2 linked regions of the Caenorhabditis elegans genome follow. The protein of the gene in region 1 purifies or fractionates together with the protein of each later gene. This does not show direct contact. Each region holds a gene or a part of one and is shown in the gene's direction. Other genes may lie near its edges. The genes, in order: slo-1 and islo-1.

Region 1 (15,429 bases):
AAATTGGAAAAGCTTAATAAAAGTAATTTTTAATGTTAACATTTCTAAGATTTTCTGATTTTTTTTAACTTGTGAAAAAATTCTAGAATGTTCCTGAAAGTTACCTAAACTTTTTAAAATTTTCTGAAAAATGCTCATAAATTTCTTTACATGTTCGGTTTTTTTTTGTTTTTGCAACAATTCCTAATTTTTTAATTTTTTCAGTTTCAACAGCTATCTAAAATATTATGAATTTTCCAAAAATTTTAAGATAACTTTTTTAACAATTTCTAAAAAATTTAGAACTTTCTAAACTTTTCTGAAAATGTTTTTAAAAAAATTTTCTAGAACATTTTTAAATTTCTGGAAATTTTTTTTAAAAACATTTAAATTTATTTAAATTTCAACAATTTTCTAAAATTTTCAAGAGTTTTGCAGTCTCAAAAAAAAATCAATACCTGCATACATCATATAAAACATAGACGATACTTGCGGTAAAATCAATAATTCTGCGGCCAAGCACACCAGGAGCACATACTTGCCCATTTGAATATAGTCGTCGAGCCCGTGCACTTGCTCGGGCTCTTTTTCCAGAAATTCCAGTTTTGCTCCATTTTCAGGAAGATTTATAGAGTCTTCTGATGAATTACTCGACGTAGAAGACATTAAAATAATAGTATTCGTAGTTTAAAAATTTTTTGAAAAATACAAATTTTCAAAAAAAATTTAAAAAAAAAAAGAAGTTTTTCCAAAAAAGTTCAGAAAAACATTAATCGTCTGCAAATCAAATTTTCGATACCATGATCATTATCACCCCCGTCTCCTGCCTGCCAAATAATCATTTTCAAACAGGTTCTCTTCGGGTGATCTACTAATTGATATATCATTGAAGGGCATTCAACTGATAACTGATGTGATGGCGAGATTGGTCGGAGGTCAAACAATTAGGCCTTTTCCGTGGAAAATTGGGTAAAAATTGGGTGGAAATTGAGTTTGTTTAGGTGCATTAATATTGAATATCGATTTTCTTCTGAGTTCTTACAACAAAAAAAATGTTAAAGGTGGTGTAGTCGAATTTTAAATGTTTTTATTAGACTTTTTATTAGAAAAAATTAGACTACACCACCTTTAAAATTTTTTTCAGAACTCACAATTGCCTGAAAACACCGAATTTCATAATGAAACTTCTTGAAAACTTCTCAAAAAAAAATATATGACTAAAAATTTGAAATTTGGCTTACTTGTCAATGCCGCAGCGGCTGGAAACAATATTTTTGAAATCACCCTCTAATTTTCTGGGTATAAATGTATTTTAAAGTTGATGGTTTTGTATACTCAAAATAAATTTGACGGCACTTTCAAAAAAATTAATTTCCAGCCGCTTGAAAAGTCGGTCAAATTTTATAATTTAACTAATTTTAGGCAATTTTTTTTAATCCTTCATAACCTTTTTTTGAGAAGTTTTCGAGAAGTTTCATTATGAAATTCGGTGTTTTCAGACGATTTTGAGTCTAATAAATTTGAAAAAAAATTTGGCTACGCCACCTTTGATTTTAAAACGTATTTAAAAATGAATAATAAAACCATTTTTTGAAATTTTAAAAAAGTTTTTTGCATTTACTACTCTTTCTACTATACTTTTTTTTTGTTTGAAAAAGCTTAGAATATTACTTTTTCTTTTTGTACAAAGAATCTTCAAACTTGGCAATTTTTTGTTATTAGGTCTCCAAATAAGTTCCGGGTCAAAAATCATAACTTTTTTCGCCTTTTATCGGTTTTTTTGAAACTGTGGGAATTTATGTTATCAACCATGATCTTTCATTTTAAAATAATCACAAAATGTTTTGACCACCCGGAGTGCTCTAACTCGGAGCCAATTTTTTCAGGCATTTTTCTGACCTCGCTTCTTTGTAGCTTTGAGTTAAGGTTTTTGTGCGTATTTTGCTTTGTTTAAAATACATTGTAAAAAAACAACAAAAGTTTGGAAAAAAATCCGTCCAAAAAATTTTTTTTGGTAGGTCGTCAAAAAAAGTTGAAAAAATTTTTCTCAAAAATTCTTGATTTTTTGTACAAAAATGATGTAACCATGTGTGTATACCGGTTTTACACATATAGAGCATTTCAGTTTGAATTTTGGATCTCGAGAAAAACTCAAAAAACTCAAAAAATTCTCCGAAATAATTATGTTTCTATTATCATTTTAGTGTATCGAACTAATTTGAAAAGTTTTGTATGTGTAAAAATAGTTTACACATGGTTACATTATTTTTGTACAAAAAATCAAAAATTTTCGAAAAACATTTTTTTGAACTTTTTTTTGACGACCTACCAAAAAAAATTTTTTTGGACGGATTTTTTTTCCAAACTTTTGTTGTTTTCTTACAATGTATTTTAAACAAAGCAAAATCCGCACACAAGCCTTGACTGCCTAGAAAAATTGGCTCCGAGTTAGGGCACTCCGGGTGGTAAAAAAATGTTGTGTTTTTTTTTAATGAAAGATCATGGTTGATAACAAAAATTCCCACAGTTTCAAAAAAATCGATAGAAGGCGAAGAAAGTTATGATTTTTGACCCGGAACTTATTTGGAGACCTAACAGAATTTAAAAAAATCTAATATTCAACAAAAAAAAAAAAAGATTTTTTTGTTTCCCGTGTAAAACTTGTGTAAAACTTTCCAATAAAGTTATAATTTTCCGTCCCAAAATTCAAAAGATCAGCGAAATGTGTCTGTGTAAGAAAGAATCTGGATAAGTGTCAGTGTCCCGAAACATATTGCATCTCATTGGACAGGGGGTAGAAGGGGTACCACAGATACCCACACATCGGTTTTGAATTTCATAATTCTCTTTTTCTCGTTTTTCCTTATTTTTTTCTATTTTTCTCATGTTCTTCAGCATTTTTAAGATTTTTTTCAAATTCAAAAAAAAAATCTTTTTTCTAAATTTGCCAAATTTTTGAATAGCCTATCCCATTTCTAAACCTAAATTTGTTCTGATTCCAAAAATATCTTTTTCGCCGTTCTCATTACAAAACTGACCGAGTTACGGTCGTTTTTGCACATTACGGCGAGAGTGCGGAGGGTACAGAGAAGGCAGACACTCTGCCCGTCTGCGTTCTCCACTCTCTCGTCTTTGCGTGCAAAAACGCGTGTATCTTGGTTTTTGCTGCTAAAAATATAAGGAAAAAATATTTGTGATCAGAAAAATTAGGCGGTTCAGAAATTATAAAATTATATTTTTTTTTAAAATTATAAAAAAAATAAAAAATTTATAAAAAAAGAAATTATAAAAAAAATTTCTTTAAATATCCAAAAATTTATGTTTTAAGAACCAAAATTTTGATTTTAATTCAAAACTTTACTTTTTATTAATCGTATTTTAAAACAGAACGAGTTAGGCGAGAGAGCAGAGGGCGCAGAGAAACGAGACACTCGTTTGCAAAACCGCCCGTAACTTGGTTAGTTTTTTGTTGGGGCTTATGAAAAATATGTTTTTGAAATCAGGAAGTTAGGGTAATTCAGAAAATATCTAATAGTGAGTTGAATAAAAAATGTGAAAAAATTGTTTCAACATTTTTTTTTTAATTTCTAAAAATTTACTTAAAAATCCAAAAAAATAAATTTCCTATCCAAAACTTTTTTTCCTGACTCAAAAATTATATTTTTCGTCGCTTCTACTACAAAACAAATCTAGTCACAGACGTTTTTGACGAGAGAGAGTGGAGAGCGCAGACAGCTAGAGTGTCTGTTTTCTCTGCGTCCTCCTCACTCTGGTGTGCAAAACCGGTCGTAACTTGGTTAGTTTTTTGCTGAGACCTGTTAAAGATATGTTTTTGGAATCAGAAGAAAAATGTGATTCAGAAAACACAAAATTTAATAAAAATTTGAAAAAAATTTTTTTTTTCAATTTTTGAATTTTTTAAAATCAATTTTTTACGCAAAAAAAAATATTTTTTCCAGTTCCCCCAGCCTAAACATGTTAAATTGAATATTCCCAAAACAAAAAAAGTTCCTTCCCTCCCGTTTTCCGCCAATTTTCCAGGCAGCTTCTCCTCCTAAAATGAGGTCGTTGGAGACGCAGACACACATCTCTTACGCATTCCAAATGCTTCAGCTTCTTCTTCTGGCTCGCGGAGCACCACGAGCAGCAGCAGCAGCTTCTGCTATTGCCGGACGGACGGAGGGGTGTATTGATCCATCTCTCTGTGCAGGGAGGGAGGGGGAGCCAGAGAAAGGTTGAGGAGGGGGATGAGAAGAGAGGAGGGGGGAGAATGTGTAGTGTAACTCTTCTTTTCTCCCCCTTCCTCCATATATCTTGATATTTTTGCACACTCACACACACACACACGTTCTCCAGCTCCATACACTAACCCATTAAGTACTATGTGTTCAATTTTCTAATTCTCATAAATTTTCAACTTTTAATTTAGATTTTGATCTACTTTTTTTTGTTTGCAAAAATTGAATTTCCCACCAATATTTTTCTGAAAAAAATTGAATTTCCCCGCCAAAATTAATTCTAAGGAAATTTGAATTTCCCCGCCAAACTTTTTCTGAGAAAATTCAAATTTCCAGCCAAAATTAGTTCTAGAAAAATTTTAATTTACCGCCAAAATTTTTCAGAGAAAATTTGAATTTCCCGCCAAAAATTTTTTTCAGAAAGTTTAAATTTCCCACCAAAATGTTTCTCAAAAAATTTGAATTTTCCGCCAAAATTTTTCTAATTGTAAGAAAATTTGAATTTTGCGCCAATGTTTTTCTGTGGAAATTTGAACATTCCTCTAAAATGTTCCTCAGAAATTTTAATTTCCTGCCAAAATTAATTCTATTAAAATTTGAATTTCCTGCCAACATTAATTCTAGGAAAATTTGAATTTCCCGCCGAAATTTTTCTGAAAAAATGTGAAATTGAATTTCCTACCAATTTTCTCAGACATTAATTCCTTTTCCTAAATTATAAAATTATAAATTATAAATTATTAAAATTTGAATTTCCTGCCAACATTAATTCTCAGAACATTCAAATTTCCCGCCAAAATGTTGTTCTCAAAAAATTTGAAATTCCCGCCAAAATTTTTTGTTGAAAAGCAAAAAAAAAGTTGTTGTTCATTTATTTATTTTTTTCCAAAACTTGTGTTCCAGAACAGCAATTCATCAAGTTTTTTGCTGGTTTTCGATGAATAATGGCGGGGCTCCCTGTGGCATTTTACCATCGAAAAACCAGAATATAAAATATACCTATTATAAATCTGGAGTTTTGAGGAAATTGAGCTTTTGGTCGATGTACCATGTTCTTTTTTTTTTAGGCTTTTTGGCAAATAACTCATTTTTTAAAATTGAAGTTGAGCCATTTATGAAGTCAAATTCAGGCGGCTTTTTACTCCTAGATTGCGTTTAAAAGTCGAATATTGATAGAAATTTTCAAAATTTCCCGATTTTCTCGATGCACCATGTCCCCCAGAGCCGGACATTTTCAGTCAAAAATACGTGGGATACGTGAAATTTCCGGGGAGTTTGTCAGGAAAAATGACAGATATGTCTAGGCACGCTCTACGTCTCTACTATTTTCTCCAGCCTAACTGGTCCATTATGTTCATTTATTCGTCGGGAGGGAAGGCCTCGCTGCTCCGACCTAATTCTTTTCTCACTCTACACACTACTTTTTCCGCTTTTTGTCCCCACCACCACTAGTTTCTGGTGATGACATCATTTTTCTTCGTGAGAAAATGAGCATATTTTATGAGATTTTTAAACTTCTTTGGGCTTTTGGGAAAAGTTTTTTTTTTTTGAGACAAAAAAAAATTTCCAAAAAATTTTCAGACTCGCCGAAAGCCGTCGGGTGGACCCTTCGTCGACACGATGGGCGAGATTTACTCGCCTTCGCAGTCGAAGGGCTTCAATCAACCATATGGATACCCGATGAATTGTAACCTTAGTCGAGTATTCATGGAGATGACTGAAGAAGATCGAAAGTGCCTGGAGGAGCGCAAATATTGGTGTTTTTTACTGAGCAGGTAAGGAATATTGAGCTGAAACTAGTGAATTCGAATTTCTGAGGTTGCCAGCTTTCAATTGACCCCCATCTTGATATAATTTGATGTAGTTTTAAATTTCGGACGCGGCGCGGTCGCGTCGCGGTTGAAAACTAAAATTGTCAAATTTTGAAAAATTAGGCTTTATTAACTACAAAACTTCAAAAATTATTGAAAATTAATTCAAAATGAACTAATTCAAAGCAAGAGTAAACACTTTTGACAGTGGTGCGACCGCGACGCAACCTCGCCGCGTGACCCAAAATCTCAAAATGCTCCAAACCCAGTCAATATGGGGCTTATTTTGAAGCTAGCGACGTAACCAACATAAATAGTTCATTTTCAACAGGCCAAAATGGTCTGTTCTCAAAATTGAAACTTTGAAACCGCGACGCGACCGCTTTGCACCCAAAATCTCAAACGCCTCCAAAACTATCCAATATGGGGCGTATTTTGAAGCTCATGAAGCCACAAACTCAAAGTATCAAGTTAAAAGTGTCAGAGATAGACAATATTAAAAATTTGTTTTTAAAAAAATTCCGACCGCGACGCGACCGCTTTGCACCCAAAATCTCAAACGCCTCCAAAACTATCCAATATGGGGCGTATTTTAAAGCTCTCACTCTTCCAAATCCAACAAAAATATTTTCAGCATCACCACATTCTGCGCCTCAATGATATTGGTCGTAATATGGCGAGTGGTGACACACCTGTGCTGTCAACGCCGAGAAAAAGAGTTTGTGGAGCCCATACCTGCTCCGGAAGCCGTCCAAATAAATATGAACGGGTCGAAGCACGCGCCAAGTGAAACCGACCCGTTTTTGAAGCAACAAGAGGAAAAACACTTGGGATGGATGACAGAAGTGGGTTTTTGAACAAAAAAAATTTAAAAAAATACCTAAAAAATTCAAATTCCCGCCTAATTTTTGTTTATTTTAAGTTAAGTTTTGTCTATTTTCAATTTTCTACATTTTTTCAAATTTATGAAATTCAACAAAAAAAATTTCAAAAAAAAAACCGAAAAAAATATGCACGAAAAAAGTGGGCGGAGCTTGTTCTTATTTTTAGGATTCTCTAGCGATGCAGCTTTACAGAAGTATTCGGGACCGCAGGGCAAGTCCAAAAGTTTTCTGAAAAATTCACTGATTTTTATGGAAAATGTGGAAAATGTTCCCCCTTACCCCGCATTTTTTCTATTTTTCCGAAAACTTTCAGGAAATGTTTTTTTTTTTGCTTTTGTAGTTATCGCATTTTTTTTTATTATTTATTTTATTATTTGAAGTTTGCTGAATTAAAAAAAAAAAAAAAAAAATTTTTACAAAAATGAACCCCTGTGGGGACAATTTTGGGACATGGGACACTCCGGGACCATTTTCAACAGGAAATTCATACACTCCGTGAAATTTCCAAAATTTTGACACCCATATTGCCTATGCTCAGACAAATTTGAAATATGCAATGATTTCGGGCCGTTTCAGGCCGTTTGAGGCCGAATTAAGCCAAAATTACCAATTTCTCAAATATGATCGATATGGGGGTTGTTGAAACGCAAATTTTACGGAGAATTCGAATTTTTCAACTAGAAGTCTCGCAAAGTGACCCATGTCCCCGATTTGTCCCCACAGGGGTGCATTTTCTAAATTTTCACACTTTTCTCCCTATCGTAAATGTTAAGTCGTGTTAATGTGGAAATTTGCATGACCAGCAAAACCCGATTTTTCTCTATATTTTTGCATATTTTTTTCTGCACACTTTTTGGCCACGTGGAGCTGCACTTCTCCACCACCCGCCCACACTTTTTCACACTTTATTTTCGGGACTATTTTCATTTTTGGTAGATATGGATGGGATTGTTCTCTGAAACTAAAGGTGTGTGGTTATATTAGACTTTGTTTGGTTTTGAGTTTTCAAAAAAAAAATTTCAAAAAAATAATTGTTTTCCAAATTTCTAAAATTTTGGAATTTTCCTGAATTTTCAACGTCTGAAATTGTGATTTTCAACCTTCTGATTGTCAGCTTTCATTAAACACCTATTTTGACTAGTTTCCGAGCAGTTTCATTTTTGGTGCTTGCGTTGCGGTCGCGTCGCGGTTTTGAAGCGAAATTCGTCAAAACCTAGTTAAACCAAAATAAATACTCATAAATAAATATTATTTGCACTTGAAAATCAATATTTCAGTTACAAAAACTCATTTTTCACACTGAAACTTAACAACTAAATTTGCGCACGCGACGCGACCGCGCCGCGCCCCCAATTTTTCAAACTTATCGGAACATAGTCAATATGGGGGTCAAATTGAAGCTGGAAACGTCACAAATTCAAATTTCACAATGAAATTTCTCTAAATTAAATTATATTTCCGAAAATCTCAATTTTCATTTCAAAACATGAAGTTTTTTGTAGTTTTAGCGTTTTTCTCCGGACTTTATCCCCTGAAAACTAGAACCGAGTGAGTTTGATGTAGCCTACACCTGTTGAGAATTACCACACATTATTTGTTGGCCTATTTTTAAAACTAAATTTCACAAATTTTTCAGGCCAAGGACTGGGCTGGCGAGCTGATATCCGGACAAAGTCTGACGGGACGGTTTCTGGTACTTTTGGTGTTCATTTTATCGATTGGATCGTTGATTATTTATTTTTACGACGCTAGTTTGTGAGTTTGAGTGTTTAAAAAAAATATGCAAAAAATTTCGAAAAAAAATTTTCGAAAAAAATTTTTTTTTTATAAAAACTTTTTTCCATGTGTTTTAAAATAGTTTTAAAATAGTAACTTTATTATAGATTTCATAAATTTTTCAAAAATTTTCAGCCAAAACTTCCAAGTAGAAACGTGCATCCCGTGGCAGGACAGTCCCTCGCAACAAATCGACCTGGGCTTCAACATATTTTTTCTCGTCTATTTTTTCATTAGAGTAAGTTTTCACACTTTTTTCCCGGAAAAATTTGACTTTTTCATGTAATTTCTGATAACTTGAGCTAAAATTTGATAAATTTCGAAAAAAAAAACGTTTTTTTTTTTTTTTTTTTTTCAAAAACTTTTCCAAAATTTTCCAAAAAATAAAATGCATTTCAGTTCATCGCCGCGTCCGACAAAGTTTGGTTTCTGCTTGAAATGTACAGCTGGATTGATTTTTTCACGATTCCGCCAAGCTTCGTGGCAATTTACTTGCAGAGGAATTGGCTCGGTGAGCATTTTTGGACACATATTCGAACAAATTTGGGATTTTTTATTTTCCCATTTAAAAATCGAACTCCTGATGTTTTAAGCTTCAATTTGACACCCATATCGGCTATATTTGGTTGAACTTGAAATTTGGGGATAATACGCGACGCGCGACCGCGACGCAAGCAACAAAATTCAAATTTCTCAGAACCCAGCTGATATGGGGGTCATTTTGATGCTTACAAACTCAGAAATCATCTTAAAATCGCACGGATAACTATTTTTGAATAACTATCGAAAAAAAATTCAAGTTTTAAAAATTTCAAAAACTCAAAAAATTCCAGGATTCCGTTTCCTCCGTGCTCTTCGCCTCATGACCGTACCCGACATTCTACAGTACCTCAACATCCTGAAAACATCTTCATCAATCCGATTGACACAGTTGGTCACAATTTTCGTGGCGGTTTGTCTGACTGGAGCCGGCTTGGTGCACTTACTGGAAAATTCTGGGGACTTCTTCAAAGGATTTATAAATCCGCACAGAATCACTTATGCGGACTCTGTGTACTTTGTACTGGTCACAATGTCTACTGTCGGATATGGAGATATCTATTGTACGACGCTTTGCGGCCGACTTTTCATGATTTTCTTCATTCTGTTCGGTTTGGTGAGCTTTCTTTTTCAAAATTTTACTGGTTTTGAAAGGTTTTAAGTAAAAAAATTGAAATTTCTGTAAAATTTGCGTTAATTTAACATCCATATTGACTATATTATGAAAAATTGAATTTAAGGCTTTCTGGGCCCAAAATCGGCCTGAAAACGGCCTGAGAGTGTAACTGAAAGCTATTTTTGTCCTTTTAAAAAATGTGATAATTTAACACCCATTTTGCCTAAAATCCGAATTTTTCAAAATTCAGGTCAAAATTCAGAACCAAAGTCGGCCTGAAAACGGCCTGAAACATAATTTTAGGAACTTAGCTATTATAAGGGTTAATAACATTTTTCTTTAAATGATGTTGTTAACTTAACACGTATATTGGTCGAAATCACAATTTTTTAAATTTAAGGCCTACTTGGGCCCGAAATCGGGCTGGAAACGGCCTGAAAGCATGATTTTAGGAACCTAGCGGCTGTGAATTAAAATTACAGTTCTCCTTTGGAAAATGTTGCTAATTAAACATTCATATTGCCCATTATCACAAGTTTTCAAAATTCAACCCTATTTATGGCCGAAATCGGGCTGGAAATGGCCTGAAAGCATGGTTTTTGGAACTTAGCGAATGTAACTGAAAATTACTTTTCTGCTTTGAAAAATTTTGCTAATTTAACACCCATTTTGCCCGAAATCACAATTTTTCAAAATTCAACACTATTTAGGCCCGAAATCGGCCTGAAAACGGCCTGAACTGACTTTTCAGAACACAGTCAATATGGGTGTCATTGAAACGGAAATTTCACGGAGATTTCAATTTTGCTAGGTAAAACTGTCCTGTGTACCCGATGTACCCAAGTGTCCCCGACACTGTGGGGACAAACTCAAAATCCTTCAATTTACATCGAATTTTTTGATTTTTTCACTAATTCTCCAATTTTCAGGCCATGTTTGCAAGTTACGTACCAGAAATTGCCGATTTGATTGGAAACCGGCAAAAATACGGTGGGGAGTACAAAGGAGAGCACGGGAAGAAGCACATAGTGGTCTGTGGCCATATCACCTACGATTCGGTGTCCCATTTTCTTCAAGATTTCCTACACGAGGACCGTGATGACGTGGATGTCGAAGTGGTGTTTTTGCATCGTGTCGTGCCGGATTTGGAGCTGGAAGGCTTGTTTAAGCGGCATTTCACAAAAGTCGAATTTTTCACGGGGACTGTCATGGATTCTCTGGATCTTAGCAGAGTCAAGGTACACTTTATTTTTAGCTTAAATTTTTCTGAAAGAACGCAAAAATTTTAAAAAGTTGCATCAAAAATCAAGTAGAAACCTTCAAAACTGACTGAGTTATGCGACTTTTAAAAAAGTTACCCCTGTGGGGACAATTTTGGGACATCTGGCCTCCTAGGCAATTTTTAAGCAAAATATACAAATTTTTTACAAAATTTCCGTAAATTTGACACCCATATTGGATAAATTCTGAAAATGTGGATTTCAGGCCAATTCGGGCCGGCATTGCGCACATGCAGGCCTGAAATCGAAATTTTTGTCAATGTTGTTGTCAAATCAACGTTATTTTTGTGAACACCAATGAACCTCATTAAAATTTACCACCCATAGCCACTAGATTATTAAGCCTTGGGCTTTGGGCCGAATTCGGTCCCATGAAGGCCTGAATCGCAAATTTGGAGAGCGGGTGTCAAATTTTTAAACTGATTTGATAATAAACCAAGTTTTGACATCCACATTGGCTATATTCTGAAAGTTTTGGGATTAGGCCAATTCTGGGCCAGTTTAGGCCCTGGTAGGCCTGAAATTGATATTTTGCCCAATTTTGGTGTCAAATCAGCGTGATTTTTGTGAAAACTACTGCAACTTATTAAAATTTGTCACCAATAGCCACTAGATTATGAAAACTTGAGCATTAGGCCGAATTCGGGCTGATTTCGGGCCTATGTAGGCCTGAAACGGAAATAAACCGATTGTTGTCGATATGGATGTCAAATTTAAGGAAATTTTACGAAAAAAACAAATTTTTGAATAAAATTGGTCTCAGAATGTCCCATGTTCCCACAGTGTCGCCAGGCTCCGGAAAATTTTTTGAAAATTTTTGTCTGAGATCCATATCTCAGGCAGTTTTTAAGATTTTCTTCTTATTTTTGTCTTAAAATATTGCTAAATGCCTGAATTTTGTGTCTGCAACACAAATTTTTATGAAAATTTTATTCTTTCCAGATCGGGGACGCCGACGCCTGCCTGGTCCTTGCCAACAAGTACAGTACCAATCCGGACGCCGAGGACGCCGCAAACATTATGCGTGTAATTTCGATCAAAAACTACTCATCGGACATCAGAGTTATTGTGCAACTAATGCAATATCACAATAAGGCCTACCTTCTAAATATCCCCTCCTGGGACTGGAAACGAGGTGATGACGTCATCTGTCTCGCGGAGCTTAAGCTCGGATTCATTGCTCAAAGCTGTCTGGCACCCGGATTCTCTACGATGATGGCTAATTTATTTGCAATGAGAAGTTTCAAAACGGTAAGTTAAACAAAAATTGTTGTATTTGTGTTTTTTTCTAACCAAAAATTGCCCGTAAAGCATGCACATGGGACATCATGGGACACTTGAAATTGCAAAATTTGAAATCTACACAAAATTTTGATCGAGATTGGCCTTTTTTTTTAACTTAATTATTTTTTGAACTTTTAGGCCGATTTGGGCCGTTTTAGGCTACTTCAGGCTTTCCCAAACTTAGCCTATAAATGTGGTCTTACGAAATTTGGAATCTACACAAATTTTTAATCGGAAATGACCTCCATATCGGCTAGCTTTAGAAATTTTCGATTTTTGGGCCGAATCGGGCCGTTTTAGTTCGAGTTTAGTCGCGAAAAAAAATTTGTTGACTTTACAGTTTTTTTTGTTAAGATTTTGCCAATTTGACATTCGGACTTGCTCTTCTTAGTGAATTTAGATATTAGGCCGAAAGTAGGCCGTTTCAGGCTTTTTGTGGGCCGAAAATCTTTCCCGTTTAAATATAGCCAATATGGGTGTTAAAATTTAGGAAATTGGGTGTAGAATTCAAATTTTCAAGTTTAAATGTTCCATTTTCTTCTGATTTTTCAAAAACTGAAATTTTCAAGAAAAAATTTCAAAAATTTATTTTTTCAAAAATTTTATAAAAGAATCTGTGTTGGTTTTATAAATGTGTTCGCATTGTCTATGTCTAATCTCGCCTCACCTAACACCTACATCTAACCCACCACCCCATGTTTGCAGTCTCCTCACACCCCTCTCTGGCTTAACGACTACTTACGTGGTGCCGGAATGGAAATGTACACGGAAAGTCTGAGTCCTTCGTTTGCGAATATGTCATTTCCAGAAGCTGCAAAGTAAGTTTCTGAAAATATTTGGGAATTTTGGGAGAAAAAAATTTAATTTTTTTTCAAATATTTTTTTCCAAACTAAAAAAATAATTCCAAAATTTTTTAAAATTAAATCCAAATTAAAATTATCAAATTTGTTAATCTATTTTCACAAAATAACACAATTCCGAGTAATTTAACACCCACATTAGCTTTTTTCAAAAAAATTGTATTTCAGGCCTAAAATTCGGCCTACTTTTTGGCCTAAAATCAAAATTTTGCAAACCATGCCAAGATAGGTGTCAAGTACTATTGAAAGTAAATTCTTTATAGAATTTCAGTTGATTTGACAGCTATATTGAATGTACACAAATTATGAATTTTAGGCCTGAAATCGGCCTAAATTCGGCCTAAATCCAAATCAGAAAATTTGAATTGTGAAAAAATCAAGTTTTTCACCAACAATTGGGTTGATTTGAGACTCATACTGGGCTTACACAGAAAAAATGGGTTTTAGGCCCAAAGTAGTGGCCTAGAGTGGCCTACTTTGGCCTGACGCCGGAATTTTGAAAAATAGGCCAAAACTGGTGTTTTGGCTTAGCCAAGAAACTTGATTTTGCATAAATCTCTAATTGATTTGAGACCCATATTGGCTTCACAGAGAATTTTGGATTTCTGGCCCAAATTAGGCCGATTCAGGCCTGGTTTGACCCGAAAACGGGCCACGCCGATATGGGTGTCAAATTTTGCGTAGAATTCAATTTTAATACTAACAAATCTTAGTGAATGCGTTTTTTGTCTAAAATTGTCCGTTTCAGTCCGTTTTTCGTGAAATTTTCTTCAAAAATTTCAGAATTTTTTTTTCAAAAACCAAAAATTATAGTCACAAACCACACCGGACTGGCTGAACCTGTACCTTTGCGGTGCCGGAATGGAAATGTACACCGACACGCTATCCCACTCGTTCGTCGGAATGACTTTTCCTGAAGCTGTCGAGTAAGCCGAAGAGTGCTTTCTAACAGCTTTTACTACTAACTTTGACGGGAAAATTAAAAATTTTTTTAATTTTGCTGTAACGCTGAAAACAGAAAAGAAAATTTTCAAAAAAATTTTTTTTTTGGACATGCTAGATCGACCTTTTAAAAAAAGTTTTTCGACAAGGTGAATCGAACAAGAAATTTTTTTTTCGAATATTCCAAGTTTTTGTCGAACTGAATTCTAAAAAACTAAACTAAACCCCAAAAATAACAATTTTTAACGCAATTTTTACTAATTAAACTTTCAACGAAGCGTTGTTTTCCAGTAAAGAACCCCTCAAACTCAAATTTTCAGCCTATTATTCAACCGCCTGGGGCTTCTTCTTCTGGCGATTGAGCTTAAAGATGAGGAAAATAAAGAATGCAATATTGCAATCAATCCAGGCCCACATATTGTCATCCAGCCTCAAACTCAAGGATTTTTCATTGCTCAGAGCGCTGACGAGGTGAAGCGGGCGTTTTTCTGGTGTAAGCAGTGTCATGACGATATTAAGGACGTTTCCTTGATCAAAAAATGTAAATGCAAAAATTGTAAGTATTTTCAGATTTTTTTTTCCGAAAAAATTGAGCCAAAACCGTTGAAATTGAGAAAAATTACCTCTGTAAAAAAAAAAATTACCAAAATTTCAACAAAAAAATGGCTCAGTACTTTTTGAACACAAAAACTGATAGTAAAATTTGATCATTAGAAATTTGTCACCTATATTATCTAAATTGTCAAAAAAAAAGTGATTCGGGCCGTTTTCAGGCCGATTTTGGGCTGAAAAAGGCCCGAAGGATAAATTTTACAAACATCACCAATAATTGTTTAATTCATATTAATTTGCAAAGTTTTAACACCCATATCGACCATAATCTGAAAAGTTAAAGGGCCCAAGTTTTGGGCCGTTTTCAGACCGATTTCGGACTGAAACAGGCCTGAAAAGTGACTTAGTGCTTTTTTAACACGAAAAATGATTTTAAAAGTAAGATTTTGAAAATTTGACATTTATATTATCATTTTTTCACAAATAAAAATGTTTCGGGCCGTTTCCAGGCCGATTTTAGGCATAAATAGACTTAAACCTGAAATTATCTTAACCTAGTCAATATGGATGTCATACGAACGCGAATTTTATGGAGAATCCGAATTTTTAGTCAAAAAATTTGTTTCTAAATGCCCCATGTCCCCGCAGTGTCGTTTTTCACCTAAA
Region 2 (15,429 bases), on another chromosome or scaffold:
GAAGTTTTAACTTTTTTTAAATTTTCAACATTCTGAGAGCTTAATTTATGATAAAGATTTTCACGTAAATAATTAGGAATTCAAAAAAGAATTGTCTAATTACTTTTCCTACGTTCGGAAAAAAACTGATTTTCATCAAAAAAAGCGAACTTATTTACTACTCTTTTATTCCGTTTTTTTTAATAAAAAAAAAGAAACTGTAAAAACTAGGTATTTATTTAAAATTATCAAAAGCTTTACTAAGAAATACCAAAATTTACCGTAATAACGGTTAGGATAGGACTGAACTTTCGTTCGTTCCAGAAGATATCTTCTTGTTTTTGTTTAAATTATCTCTCTTTTTATAAAATTTTAAGAGAAAATTACAATTTATCATTAATTATATCAAATCGCGAACTTTTCTTCAATAAATTATGAAAAAAAATTATAAAATTTGAATTTTTCAGATTGTACTACATTTAGCAAATAAATGTCTTACCTTTCTAATACGTCCAGAAGCGTCGTAGTGAGATCCGTGACAAGGGCAGTAATAACCTCCGTAATCTCCAGCATCGGCTGAAAATTCAAAATATGATTTCAAAAATTCAGGAGAAAAAAGACTGCATACCAATTGGGACACATCCAAGATGGGTGCACACTCCAATGACAACGGACCATTCATCTTTCTGCACACGTTCGTCGTCATGTTGTGGATGACGGAGATCGGCGACAGGGACGGCCTTTTCCTTGGCAATCTCAGCCTTGGTACGATGTTTGACGAAGACTGGCTTTCCACGCCATTCGAATGTCTTTGTTTTTCCTTCTGGAATATCAGCCATGTTGATTTCGATCGAAGCCAAGGCACGTTGATCAGCTGCCATAGCCTGGAAAAATTAATTTAAAAACGGTGTAATGGAAATTCAACATACTTTGTAAGAAACAAGAGTCTGTACAACTTCCTTTCCGGCCCACAAAGATAGAACTCCTCCAGCTGTAATAAAACAATGTTTAGACCGAATAAAAAATAATTCGAACCTCCATAATACAGAGCAGTTGGAAGAGCACGACGTTGATCCTCGGTGTCACGGGCTGGCACTTGAGTGTTCTTTGTAGAATCACGACGATAGTTTGACATATCGGGGAATGTCACATCAGTGTGAGCCAAACGGCGAGAGGTGACTTAAAAATTAATGAATTAATATATTAAATTCAATTTCAAATACCATTGATTCCCTTGACAGCAAGTCCATTGGTGAAGACACCTCCGGTGCTGTGACTAACAGCGGCTTGACGAGCTTCAGCCGTGGAGAACTCAGCTGGAACATCGCGGAAAGCAGCGACCTGGATACTAGACAATAAAATAATATTCTGCAACTTTAAATACTTACATTATCGGCGGCTGGTGTTGCGGCAACAAAGTTTACATGTTGCTGGGATCCGCTGATCTGAAAGAAAACTATTTATAAACTATTGGACAAAATTTTAGAACTGTAATCGATATCTTAATCATTTCGACACCGTCCAGTGTTTTGGAACGAGAATAGTTTAAACAAATACATTTTAAACAAAATTTTCGAACGCGTTTCTCGCAAAATATGATTATTTCTCGAATTGAATAGATTATTGGAGTGTTTTTCTTCATATTTGTTCAAAAAATACTTACCACTTTGACTGCAAAACCTCCAGATCTAGCAAGAGAAGCCATTGCCCCAGTTGATGCCTAAAATAATTATTTTAAATATTTTTAAGTTTTTGAAAAAAATAAAACAATTTTTAAAATATGAGAACGGCTAAATTAACAGATCAAGGCAATGAACAACTGAATAAAACGTTTTCAAATTGATGAATTTTGCCGAAATTTGGAATTTTAAAGAATTAAAAGCTGAAAAAAGGCTAAAATTGGGACAAACTCAACGGGCGGACTGTCTGTATGAAGAGACACAGAGAAATTTTCGGCACGCGTCGCCCTCCGCATCGTTGTCAATAGGGCGAACATGCATAGAGACTTTTCCGTGTGCTCAGACGAGAGATTCCTTCTCGTTTGTAATAATCGTTGACAGCAGCATCTCAATTTCAAAATAATGACGCGGGTACGGGTACTAGAGGCCGTTTTGCCCGCACAACACTCGGCGACAAGATATCCGCCACCAGCTGTGAATCGGATGAAAAATACAGAAAGTCGTCCAGCTTTTATTTTTATTCCTGCTCAATAATACAATTTATATTCAGTTCTAGATTTTCTTATTCAAATAATTATTCAAGATGGTAAGTGTTTGATAAAAGATGATCCACACGATGAGGAAATCCACGAAAACATCTGTTGCCACAACCAACACTCCAGTTGACACACCAAACTATTTAGAAAAATAAATTGAGAGAAAAGATGTGGCTGTTTGATACTGCTCTGCGGCACGAGCTCAAAGAGTTGTAATCAAGGTCCAATCGAGTCGTGCCGAAAAGTTTAGCCTTTCCTTCTTCCGGACCTGATTGGTTTCAGATGGGAAGTAAAAGAGGACGCGGCGCGGCACCGTCGAATCAAGAGCGCGTCCGCACACATTTATTCTTCGGATCCAAAGCTGAACGACCACATCAAAAGCGGAAGCGGAGAGCTCAGAGTGGGTTTTTGTGTGGAAATTTGCTTTAAAAAAAGGATATTACGTAGACGTCTAAAGATGATGATTTTTCCTATATTTTACACACAAAGGTCTTGCCACGAAGACGAATTACTGTAATATGGTATCGATTAACAGGTCGTTGAAAATCTTCGGACATCTTACAAAATTTTTAAAAATTACAATTAAAATAAAATTCAAAGAATATGGTACAAGCGGCCCATAAATCGATACCAGCTACAGTAATTATAACCATCAAAGCAATACTGAGAAGTAGTAATTTAAATTGACTTTATGGGTCTCACCACGATGTACTGAATGTAGCACAGAATATAGAGTTGTTGTATTAAATATAAGGGGTTTTCATGTCAATTTGATTCTAAAAACTCATAAATATTTTCGAAATATTAAAGACAAGCTTCACGTAACTGCAAAGGATAAGAAAGACGAAATGGTTCAAGCTGGTGCAAGTGAGATTGATCCTCAACAATGGACTGGAAATCAAAGAGTTCTTCATTTTGGACCAATGGCTCAACGTGATCCATATTTCTATTATTATCCAAAAGGATGGGATATATTGTATCCAGCAACATTTGGATTTTTTCCATATAGAACATCGTTAGTTTTTTGATAATTGAAACTGTAAGCTGGAAATATGAGGGTTGAATAGCTCAACTAAATAACTCGTAGATTATAATTTAATGGAGTATGTCCTAATACATCATATTCAACGCGAAAATTCAACAGAGACGCAGAAAATATACATCAAGTTACTTTATCAAAAATTTAAAAAAAAACCCTGAAAAAAGCATTATTTTTTAAAGAAAATTTCGTGGCTCGTCATCATTGATTTGTTGTACAGCATTCGGCGTTTTTCTCCTAATTGGAGGACTACTAATGTCACTTCTTGGATATAAATACCTTTATACTTCACCATTCTGGACTTGGCCATACGAACAAAGAATACGACCACCACCAATTCAAATTGCGGGTCCTATTTTATTTGGACTCGGATGTTCGTTTTTGATAATTTCATTAATCTACTTTTTATGCACAACAAAGCTCTGTGATCTCTCGTTACACCACACAAAGAAGCACAATGATCCTGCTAGGCTTACGACTATTACAACACATTATGTGGTAAGTCTTTTTGATTAATTGAAAATTCAAATTCAATTAGAAACCCACATGTCCTTGTAAAAGTTGCGACTACACCTTTGAAAATTTCATGAAAGTAATATAAACAATTAAAGCTAACAAATTAACGTCTAAACAAACTCAAAATGATCGTACCATAATTTAAAAAAAACTATTAAAACATTTTAGATTTCTGAAAATGGCATAGTTTTGGTAAATTGCCAAATTAACCGAAACAGCAATGTGTTTGAAACCTTACAAGGCTTAGATACAGTTCACTAGAACGAAGAATGTAGGTAATAATGCGTATCAATTCAAAATCAAAATGTACCCATTTTAGTTGTTACACGTTTACAGCCGCTACCTCCGATCTTTGAGAAAGATCCATATCAACCTCTACCTCCACCTGCGTACCCAGTTCTTGAGAATCGACACGCAATGTCTAATGTAGTTAAGCCACACGATGAAAAGAAACTGTATCCACCAGTGTAAGAACTTCATTCAAACCGGAACAAGATTCTGTAAATCTATAATTTCAGAATTCCTGGATGTTCCACACTTTCCCTTCATAGACGATCTCCGAATAACATTTTTGTAGCAAGTCCATATAATACCCTAAGAGCTACAAGCGTTGGAAGATATCAATCTGGATTCCTTGACACGAATTCAATAATGGAAAATCGGTTAGGATCAAGGCAGCCGTCAGTTGCAAGTAGAAGACAATCAAGTGAAGCTTCAAGTCAAAAAAGATCCAAATCAATGGGACCTTTACATCGAACTAACTCCAATCGAAGCAAAGGATCAGGAAGATCAAGAAGGAGAGAAAATAGTCAAATATAGACATTGTTTTATGATGTTAACCAGATTTATATTGTTTTTTTTTAATTTCAAAATTCTGTATCCACAAAGATCAACCGAAAAGGAGATGAATAATTTGTAGATATTTTAAAATATTTATCTACAATAATATTTTCCATCAACCAAATAAAAAATTCGACCTTCGCCCTTTGTATGTCTTCCTCTCGTTTCCCATTTTTCACTGCGTCTCAATCGCTGCTGACTCATATCTGATTGACCTCACTGTTTCTTCCAATTTCCTTGGTCACTGATAATTATACTTCCGTCTTTTTTCAGTTTTCTCCAGTATTTTTATCATAACATATACTCAAAATCAATCAATACAGGAACGTCTAGTCTACAACTTTATTATAATAACAGGTGAGATATTTTGTTTTTGGTAAACTTCATAATAGTGGAGCGCTGAACAAAAGACGAATTTTCTGATAATTTAAAATTGAAATGAAATATATTATTTACCCTTTATAATTAACTTTGTTTGAACCTAAATATTGCTCATATTCGAACAAACACTGTACACTTTTTTACGAAATTCAAAGAGACGCTACTCAGTAAATAAACAAGAAAATATAAAACAAACTGTAGTGCTCATCTCAATTTAACTGAGCTCACAAGTATTTCACCGATTTTATTAATTACAATTGATTGAGCACCCGAATCTTTTACATAATTTCATGGTAGTTTTGCACCTTTTTTGCATAATTCCTCTTATGGGTCTCGCCATCAGAAAAAGTTCTGAGAATTTTTTATGATCCCTCCATTCCACAATTAATGAAAAAATATTTTGAAAATTTCACAAAAATAGACAAAAACGAATAACATTTAAATCTGACTCTTTGAGACCCAATTCAAAAATATCCATGTGTCTTTAAGTACGCGTTACAAAAATTGCGAGAGAACAATTACTAACAGTTCAAATGTAAATAGATATTGTTAGTAATTGCCAAAACTATGGGAAATTCTTCTATTTAATCTTCATTGATTGAGTTGATTTTTTTGTTGATAAATTCAAAATTCCTAATATTTTCTAAAATATCGAATTTCCTAAAGTTATAGTGAATCCGAAAACCTCCAAAAGAAAACAAAGTAGTGACCATAAACAATAAAAAAATCATTGTTTCACAATTTTTACACTTCACTCCGCAAAAATATAGGTCGCTTGAGTGTTCGAGTTTACATGGCGTGTTTCGCAATAAAACTTTCATTTTGAAATCCCCGACACTCCTCTAATTTCCCCCGACAACGCTTTTCGTTATTGATTTTTTCACTTCAAGCCCTAACTTGAACCCATTTAAATTTACAGATGGCGTCAGTCCCATCGTCATCTAGTCTCCCAGTGTCGCATGTCCGTCGTCATGAAGACGTGTCAACACCAAGTGCACCACCAACCAAACGAAGTAATAATCAATCTCAACCTCCAGAAAGCTACGAACCCAACACCTGGTTGCAACAACAACGAGAGCAGGAACAACAGAAAAAGTTAGCTGCAGAGAATATTAAGAAGCAGAGTATCGAAGCAACGGGAAACAACGAGATGGTTGGGGAGGAGGAAGAGGTGAGGGAGAAAGATTTTAGATTTCGTAAGTTGACGAAAGTCAATCCGCGCGTTTTGTTGATATGCGGAGAATCATAAAAATGATAAAGGTAAAGCTTCAGTATGACTTTAATCTAAGAAATCGACCTTAATACTCTAAAAAGGATGGAAATAAAACATTCCATAATTAATTTTTTTATAATTGTCAAAGTTTCAAAACTAGCTTAATATTTGTAGAATTGACTAGAATTGACATTTTCAGAAGAATCTAACCCCGCGCACGCATAGCTCATTTTTTGAGAAGTTTTTTCTACAAAAATTGCAACACAAAATTATTGCGCCGTCTTATTTCCAAATGATAAAATTGGCACGTGTACTAGAGACCAAACCAAATAGGAAACTGGCTATGTAATGCCTCAGAAATTTAGCTTTACAGAAATAAACATTGTTGACAATATTGCAACCATAGGTATTCCAAAATCTTAATCATCATTATATTTTCAGGATATTCTCTCAAAACCATGTGGTCCACACAAACGACGATTCCAATTTGTGATGATCCGTAACATTACATTTGCAATTCCGGAAGGCTATGACGTCGAGCCAAACAGCATTGAGTATTTGGGTGGAGGCTCGTTTGGAAATGTTATGTATGTTTTTCAGTATTTGTGTGCTTTATTTGAATGATTATATTTTCCAGAAAAACAAGTGCAGTGTGCCGTGACGGGCTTCGTCGTTATGTTGCAATAAAGAAGATGCGAGAACCGTTCTTTGATCCACATCATGTAAGACAAAGATACATTTTTATTGAAGCTAGAGCATATTTTTTACAATTCAAATGAACTAATATCGTATTAAAAATTTTCGAACTTTTTCTATGTACAGTCAAGAAGTGGTGATTCAAAATTTTGGGGCAAAACCAGAATTTTAAAACTAATCTTGTTTTCTGTTTTCGTCTTTTTTTTTGTTGGAAAATTGCCAAAACTTTAGAAGAACATTTCAAAAAGCTGATATTTGGTTTTTATACCCATTTTTGAGAATATATTTGGTCGATCACATCCTTTGAACACCTTAAACTTCCAGGCTCGTCGCATCTTCCGTGAAACAAAACTTCTTCAATTAATGAGACATGACAATATCATCTGTGCTCTTGACATCTACACACCTGACGAGGAAAACGATTTTCGAGATGTGTAAGTAATTACAAAAAAGTTTTACAAACAATCTATAATTTTCAGATACGTTGTCACTGAATTTGCGGGTCGTAGTCTTTATCAGATCTTGAAGCAACAAAGAGATTATGGACGGCGCGTGCTGACCGACGAGCATATCAAATTCATCATTTATCAAATCATACGTGCACTTAAGTACATTCATTCTGCTAATGTAAGTCAATGGAGTTAGTGAACAGAACATTGCTCATTCTTTTTTTTTTAATAGAAATATCAGCATTTTAGATTAAATAAAATTTCATATAGGAGGATTAGGCACGATTAGGCCATAATTAGTCAAAAAGAACATGACTAAAACACGAAAATATATTTATTAAAATTTTTTAGATTATACATCGTGACTTGAAACCAGGAAATCTCGCGTTGACCGATGATTCTGACCTCATGATTCTCGATTTTGGACTTGCAAGATCCTTGGAAAAGAAAGATACTTCTCTAACACAATATGTACAAACAAGATGGTACCGTAGTCCAGAAGTCATTTATTGGAAGATTGATAGTTACACAAATCTGGCAGATATGTGGTCACTTGGATGTATTGCTGCAGAACTTTTAACTGGAGAACCACTGTTTCCGGGTGATGAGCCCAATGCTCAATATCAACGTATTACTCAATTATGTGGAAGTCCTGATGAAGAACTTTTGACAAAGATTGAAAATGATAACTCGTCTGCAATTAAAGCCGTAATTCAATCCTACACAACTCACAAACGTCGAAATTTCCGTGATGTATTTTCTGCTCATAATCCATCAGAAGACTTTATTGATCTACTTGAGAAGCTTTTAGTTTTGGATCCAGAGAAGAGGATTACGGTGGAAGAAGCTATTCAACATCCATATTTGGCAGAGTTTTCACTTCCAGAAGATGAACCAAGAGCTGATCATATATTTGACTTGGATGACTCTCAAGCTAGAACAAGATTCGAGTGGAGAGGTAAGGCTCAAAGATCACGTAATAGAATTCTGCACACCTGCAAATTTGAAAAACAACAAATGCAAAAATATTTTATTACAGATGCCGTCTGGAAGGAAATAATGAACTACAAAAGACTCAGCTCATCACCGTTAATCCCTGGAGAAGCAGATCGCTGATTTCATTCAATTATATTAATTGTATATAATTCCGGAAATGTATTACTTCTTTTCCCTCTCTCTTTCTCGTCTCTTTGTCGTTCAGTGATAGCAACACTTTACAGGTGATAATGATGTTTTCCATCTTCTCTTTCAAATTCTTTCAGAGTATTTATTTTCTTGCATTCTATAGCTTCTTCCTTTTATGTCTCTGTCTCCTTCTCTCTTTCTCTTTACTTCTCCATTTCTCTGAATCTCTTTGTCTCGTTTTTCTCTCATGCTTTTATCCCATCATATTTTTTTATATTCGTCATTCTTGTCATTGCACCCTTACACATACTAATTAGTTCAATAAACTTATTTTCTTTTGACAATTCGTTTTAAAAGCTTGAAGTGTTTTATAAAAAAGAGATTGGTTCTAATCCGTGTCACTCATATTTTACACGAGCTTATATGTTTAAAGTGAGATTATCTGAAAATTTCTGGAATTTTTTTAATATAAAAAGCATAGTTTGACTTGACAAAGTTAATCCTGAACTTCAGCTTAAAACGTTTATTCAATTAGCAGAAAAATTCAAACATTTAAAAAATGTGAAATAAGATTGAATTATTATTTTGGAATACCTATGTAGGCAATTGTCTGCCCTTTTTCGAAATATTAAAACTTTCGTGCAAAAATGTAAAAATTATATTTACAAATTCAATTCAAACTTTTTCTAGATGTCTTGTTGATGGGGATGTCGGCGACCATGGGCGATTCAGCCAGCATTCCCGGTGTCTTTTTTGCCGATTTTGGTCCTGCCCCGCCTGAGATTACTCCAGAAGGATATCATGAGGTATAGTTACAGAAGAAGATTTTTTATAGTGTAGTGAATATTGTCTAAATATACTAGAATGAGCTAAAAGAAATTTTGCAAATTACAAAAACCCAATGAGTTAATTTTAGATTATTCATCATTTTTAGTCAAAGTTTTGGAAAATTTCCAAATTTGCGGACTATTTGAAAAAAAAATTAAGATTTTTTTAATCACTTGAACAAAAATGATTTTATAACGAAAGTCAGGAGAGATTTTTTTTGGTCGGCTTCCAAAATTTTTTTTTTGAATTCCTTTTTTTTTTTTGAATTCTTTAAAAAAATCCAATGTTTTCTTAAAAGTAAAACACAATTACTCATTTTTTGCACTATGGAAGTATTTTTTAATCATCTTCTCCCTGTTGCGCTACTCCATTTTTACAGTTGCCAAAATAAAAATAACTACAAAATTCACGAAGATCATAGGATATGAGACATAATGTGATGGTGATATCATTGGAAATAAATATAAATTGTCAAAAACTATAAATCTATAAATTCATAATAAAAAAAAACTATAAATTCAACTACATATTTTCCTTTTTTATTTCATTGCAATTTTTAGTTAGATTATTTGTAGGTCGAACTAAACAAAACGAAATGGGTCTTACCTCAATGGTACAACAGTTTGAAGCCTCTAGGAGAAGGAGCGTATGGAGTTGTATGGTAAGTTACAAAAATTGAGATATATCTAAAATCTGACATTTTTTTGTAGCACAGCAGAATATGAGCCAACTGGAGATCGAGTTGCAATTAAAAAGTTCTTTCGCCCATTTCAAAGTACAATTCACGCAAAACGAACCTATCGGGAACTGAAACTTCTAAGAACTCTACAACATGATAATGTATTGGAAATGATTGATGTATTCACACCAGATCCAGATGCATCTTCTTTGAATAATGTGTGAGTTTCGGATTGTTTAGGGGAATAAATTGCTTCTCAAGAATATTTAAGGGATTTGAGAAAAAAGAGGATTAGATGATGAGAGAATAGAAAACCCGGAACAAGGTAGAAAAAGTTTGAGAATTTGAAAAGATTAGACTGGAATAAAGTTAAAATAAAATTGAATTCAAAAAATGAAAACATTTTCAAATACAAAAATAGTATATTTTCATTTTTAGTGAATAATTGCGGATTTCAACGAATTCAACGCATATCTGTCAACTCTTTTTTATATTTCGGAAATTATTCAGCCAGGCTCGGTAACTTGCCAAATTTTGAAAAATAGTGGGGCTTCTGAAAAATTTGAAACGAAATCAAATCTTTAGTTAAAATACTATGACATAATTTTTTGAAATGGTTTAGTCGTTCCAACAATTACTGACACTACTCCGCGCGCTTCAAAAAATACTGAAGAAATTTCGAATAAATCCAAAAATCTAAATATCTGACGAATTTACAATTTCAGATATTTCGTATCCGTTCTGATGGGCTCCGATTTACAAAATATTATGAAAATCCAACGACTGACCGATGAACAAATCCAACTGCTTATCTATCAAGTGTTACGTGGGCTCAAGGTATTATTTTCATTCCCTATTTCTGGTTATGTCAGCACTCAAACCCTATAATTTTCGTATCTCCTTTTCTCGTATTTTCTCAGGTTTTTACTCATATTTCACAAAATACGATTTGCTTTAGAAAGGCAATATGAGAGATATAAAACAAGTTTTCAGAAAATAGAAAAACAGTAGGGAATTTTCAGAATAAATTATTTTTAAGTGTTCTCAAACTTTTTCCCCAGTTTCGATGCCTGCGTCTCTGCATCTTGTTTTCCTGCAATTTCTAATTAAATTCTGAAGACGATTACTCCATCCTTTCATTCTTTTTTCTCTTCCTTTTTCTCTCTGATAGATGCATTTTTTCGATTAGGCACGGGTCAAGAGATGAGAATGTAGAAAGCCACTTTTTTCGGCCACTGAAAAGCCTTCAAATGTTATGCTCCAGCGGCTTTTCCAAACACTTCAAAAGTGATTTTTATGGAAAAATTATAGTTTCACTGTAATGCGACAGATTAGTTTTTGAATGAAAATATAAATCACAACTTTTTTTTTTAATTTCGTAGTTCTTATTACATCCGAAGATTTTAGACAAACCAGTTGAAAGCTCAATTTTTCTCGTTTTCTCTCTTGAGTTAAAATGGAAAACCAAATACGCAGAAATGATATATGAATGTGACAGGTTCTACATGGAACATTCATTCTGTTAGACAGAATACGAATGAATTCAAAGAAGAGTGCATTTTCGTATTTTTTGCCATAAATTGTGATTTCGAAGCATTTCGACAGTTTTAAAGAATTTAAAACGTAGTTTCTTTTCGAGTTTTGACATTTGAAAGTTTTTTCTATCCGTAAGACAGTGCCTTACTCCAGGGTACGGTAACGGATTTGCTCATACTTGAACCCGATGCTTTTCAATAAAATTCCATATTTTTTCCCGATCCGGTAATGTGATTTTCGGTAACATAAAATGTTTAAAGATAATTCCATTAATGTGAAATAGTCTCATAACAAAAATCTCAACTTGAAGATCGTTAGAATGCCCAGCTCAAACGTTTAAGTTTTATTTACAAGGAAATCTGAACATTTGGTTTCTGTCTGAAATTGTATCTGTTTTTAAGATACACGCATTTATCCGATATTTGGATACAATATATTTCCAATGACATACGTTCAAATCTAAAACAAGAGTTACCTTGCATTCCACTCTCTCACTCTATATACCGTGACCTATGCAATACCATTTGTGTAACCTCCTGCGTATCTCAATCACGTGTACTATCTCATAAAATAGTGATCGATGAACACCTTGTCTCCTTTATAATGCCAAATACAACATTAGGCTAAACACAGGCTGTTTTCTATCCATTTTTTGACTTTTTTCTCTAAGTTTCCTCACATTCAATTCTACTACGGTTTTGTTTCATTTTTCATGATAAAAGTGGTATGCTGGCAGACTATTGTTTACATAGTACACACTTCTTTTTTTTTTCTTTTTTTGTTGAAAAAAAATCTTTTGAAAGCTTTTTAAACTTTTTTCAATCTGAAAATTAAAAAAAACATTGAATTTTGCGTTTTGTGGTAATATATTTAAAATATGAGCTTTTAAATTTATTTTCTGTTTCAGAGAATGGGAAAACTTCTTATAAGAACAGATTTTAACTTGTTGAACATTAAAATACTTTTTAATCTAAACAGTTTGATGTGAACAGTTGCAAATAACGCTTCAGTACATGAGTCACCAAAATTTCAATTCAACTATTATTCTGAAAAAATTAATGCATCCTTTTCAAAGAAGAAACACACGTTTTAGGCTGGTTAAATCTTACAACAGCTTTGTTTCAAATATTTCTTCCAAAAATTCTTTGATCTTTTTCTCCTAATACTCTTTTACATTCAAATATTTTCCTATTCTTGCAGTATATCCATTCGGCAGGGATTATCCATCGCGATTTAAAACCATCGAATATTGCTGTCAATGAGAGATGCGAAGTCAAGGTTTTTCTTAGTTTTTCTCAACTTTCTTTCCTAATTCTTTCATTTTTCAAGATTCTCGATTTTGGATTGGCTCGTGCTCAAGACGCCGAAATGACTGGATACGTGGCAACAAGATGGTACAGAGCTCCAGAGATTATGCTCAATTGGATGCATTATACACAGACTGGTGAGTAAATAAAAGAAATTGGTTTCTATGCACTTAAATAGTCACCTAAAATCTTTGAACTAAATTGTTAAATATCATATGATTTGAGGTTAACTTCTGACATTTTGAAAGCATGTTTCACCTGTTTCTTGTAGTTATGCTAAAACGTGTGAAAATATGAAGAATAAACTTTGACTTGATATTGGTATTTCTGGTTTCTGCAATTCTCTCTCTATTCCAACTTCCTATTTTTTCAAATAAACGAAAAACTTGATATATTTATCACATGAAACAAAAACATCATTTTTTTTTACTTCTAAAAATGTTACCAAAATATTGAATTTTTCAGTTGATGTTTGGTCAGTTGGATGTATTCTTGCGGAACTGGTATCCGGGAGACCATTGTTTCCAGGCGATGATCGTGAGTTTTATTCTATTCCTCTAATACTTTAAATATTTAAAATTTGCAGATATTGATCAGCTAACAAAGATAATGTCAGTTGTGGGTACCCCAAAAGAAGAATTCTGGTCCAAAATTCAATCAGAAGAAGCTCGAAATTATATTAAGTTAGTGTTGCAAATACTTCTGAAATTCAATTACTAGACTAGAACTGAAAAAAAAAATAAATCGTTTACGCAAAAATCTTTCAGAAATCGTTCTCCAATTATCCGTCAGGACTTCGTTACATTGTTTCCAATGGCTTCTCCATATGCTCTCGAACTTCTCGAAATGATGCTAATTTTGGATCCGGACAGAAGAATTTCTGTATCAAGTGCTCTTCGTCATGACTATCTTCGTGAATACTCTGTGCCAAATGATGAACCAGTTGCAATGGATACGGTAATAAATAGCATAGTACGAAATTTAAGTTCGCTTCTCTAAAAGTACTCCAATTTTCTTGTTAGGTCACAATTGATCCAGCTGAAGAACGAGCAACAACGTTATCCGACTGGCGAGAGTTAATTTGGAATGAGATTCGATTATTCCAAAACTCGGCACGAAGACTAAGTTTTGTAAGCTGTACGGATACGGAAGAAGAGCCAATGAAAATATGAAGTCAAATGTGTTCAAGTGCTAAAATATCTCAAAACTGTGGAATTTTCTTTTTTCTATATTGTATCTCCCTAAACTATTTATTTCACTAAAAATCAAATTTGTGTCCCTAATTCCTTGATCTCTAATTATCCAACAATCGATCTCAGATGTTCTTTTCCACAAAATCTCAATTTTTTCCTTTGAAACCATAGACTTGTGATTTACCTTAACTTTCTCGTTAATCCTATAAGTTGCCATGACCTCAGAGCCTCTTTTAATTTATTATTCATTTAGATTCATTTATCAAATTGAAGTGTATAAAGAATTAATGTAAATATTCAATTTTCTAAATACTCTTAAACATTTAATCGGTTCAAATTGCCGCTTAATTTTTATATTTACATTTATATTGGTTTTACGTACACAAAAAAATCATATTTTTTTCAAAATAATTACTTCAAATCTTACAAACATGATTCCAGGTAACGGAGCCAATGTTTCCACAGACAACAATGGATCATATACTTCATCCGACTCCACGAGAAGGATACTATGTCGTTGAGCTTAATCGAAGTGTCTGGGTTGTTCCAAATTATTATATTAACTTGACTCCAATTGGTACCGGAGCATATGGAACTGTTTGGTATGTCATTTCAACTGATTTTTACTTTATTTTTCGATTTTTAGTGCTGCTGAATGTACTCGCTCGGGGACTCGCGTCGCAATCAAAAAATTCAATCGTCCATTTCAATCAATAATTCATGCCCGTCGTACATATCGTGAACTCCGACTTCTTCGTTGTATGTGTCATGAAAATATAATTGATCTACTTGATGTCTTCACTCCAAATGAGAATGTAAATGATATCGAGGATGTGTATTTTGTATCAATGTTGATGGGAGCTGATCTATCAAATATTCTCAAAATTCAGCGACTCAACGATGACCACATTCAATTCTTAGTCTATCAAATTCTTCGTGGACTCAAATACATTCATTCTGCAGATATTATTCATCGAGATCTTAAACCATCAAATATTGCTGTTAATGAGGATTGTGAATTGAAAATTCTTGATTTTGGATTGGCACGTCAAACTGATTCTGAAATGACTGGATACGTGGCAACAAGATGGTACAGAGCTCCAGAGATTATGCTCAATTGGATGCATTACACGCAGACTGTTGATGTATGGTCAGTTGGGTGTATTCTTGCAGAACTTATCACTGGAAAAACATTGTTCCCTGGATCTGATCGTAAGACTTTTTTTCTACAATATTCCAAATATCTTCAATTTCCAAGCAAAAAACCAGAGTAAATATTTATGGTTGTTAACTTTATTGTACACTGGCGTTTCATAACATAGAAAAAAAATCATTTTGCTAAGTTATTCGTACCGTAGCAGGCGGAAAAAATTTATAATTAATTATTACCTCTTATTGCAAATTTTGGTAGTTTATCTCCAGTTGATTTGAGG

The links.
Region 2: the proteins of slo-1 (region 1) and islo-1 purify together in Caenorhabditis elegans (affinity purification with western blotting; one study listed by BioGRID). This does not show direct contact.

What each region holds. Positions count from the first base shown.
Region 1 is NC_003283.11:18,486,469-18,501,897, forward strand, and holds the start of slo-1 (BK channel), read left to right. Parts: upstream 1-5,837; coding exon 5,838-5,992; intron 5,993-6,662; coding exon 6,663-6,873; intron 6,874-7,078; coding exon of another isoform or gene 7,079-7,123; intron 7,124-8,548; coding exon 8,549-8,667; intron 8,668-8,823; coding exon 8,824-8,926; intron 8,927-9,087; coding exon 9,088-9,199; intron 9,200-9,521; coding exon 9,522-9,844; intron 9,845-10,773; coding exon 10,774-11,082; intron 11,083-12,066; coding exon 12,067-12,375; intron 12,376-13,113; coding exon 13,114-13,226; intron 13,227-14,082; coding exon of another isoform or gene 14,083-14,195; intron 14,196-14,531; coding exon 14,532-14,767; intron 14,768-15,429. Other genes in the region: Y51A2D.18 (Major facilitator superfamily (MFS) profile domain-containing protein), read right to left, coding at 438-645. UniProt on the Caenorhabditis elegans protein: Potassium channel activated by both membrane depolarization or increase in cytosolic Ca(2+) that mediates export of K(+). Its activation dampens the excitatory events that elevate the cytosolic Ca(2+) concentration and/or depolarize the cell membrane.
Region 2 is NC_003282.8:8,134,357-8,149,785, forward strand, and holds islo-1 (Interactor with SLO-1), read left to right. Parts: upstream 1-2,032; 5' UTR 2,033-2,241; coding exon 2,242-2,244; intron 2,245-2,476; coding exon 2,477-2,594; intron 2,595-3,004; coding exon 3,005-3,209; intron 3,210-3,415; coding exon 3,416-3,731; intron 3,732-4,085; coding exon 4,086-4,216; intron 4,217-4,267; coding exon 4,268-4,568; 3' UTR 4,569-4,736; downstream 4,737-15,429. Other genes in the region: isp-1 (Cytochrome b-c1 complex subunit Rieske, mitochondrial), read right to left, coding at 479-555, 608-863, 909-970, 1,015-1,158, 1,203-1,320, 1,368-1,424, 1,643-1,684; Mitogen-activated protein kinase pmk-3, read left to right, coding at 5,890-6,141, 6,625-6,770, 6,821-6,905, 7,204-7,313, 7,359-7,506, 7,680-8,286, 8,368-8,444; Mitogen-activated protein kinase pmk-2, read left to right, coding at 9,155-9,259, 9,857-9,942, 9,992-10,180, 10,686-10,797, 12,697-12,774, 12,826-12,940, 13,269-13,340, 13,390-13,486 and 2 more; Mitogen-activated protein kinase pmk-1, read left to right, coding at 14,450-14,598, 14,643-15,208.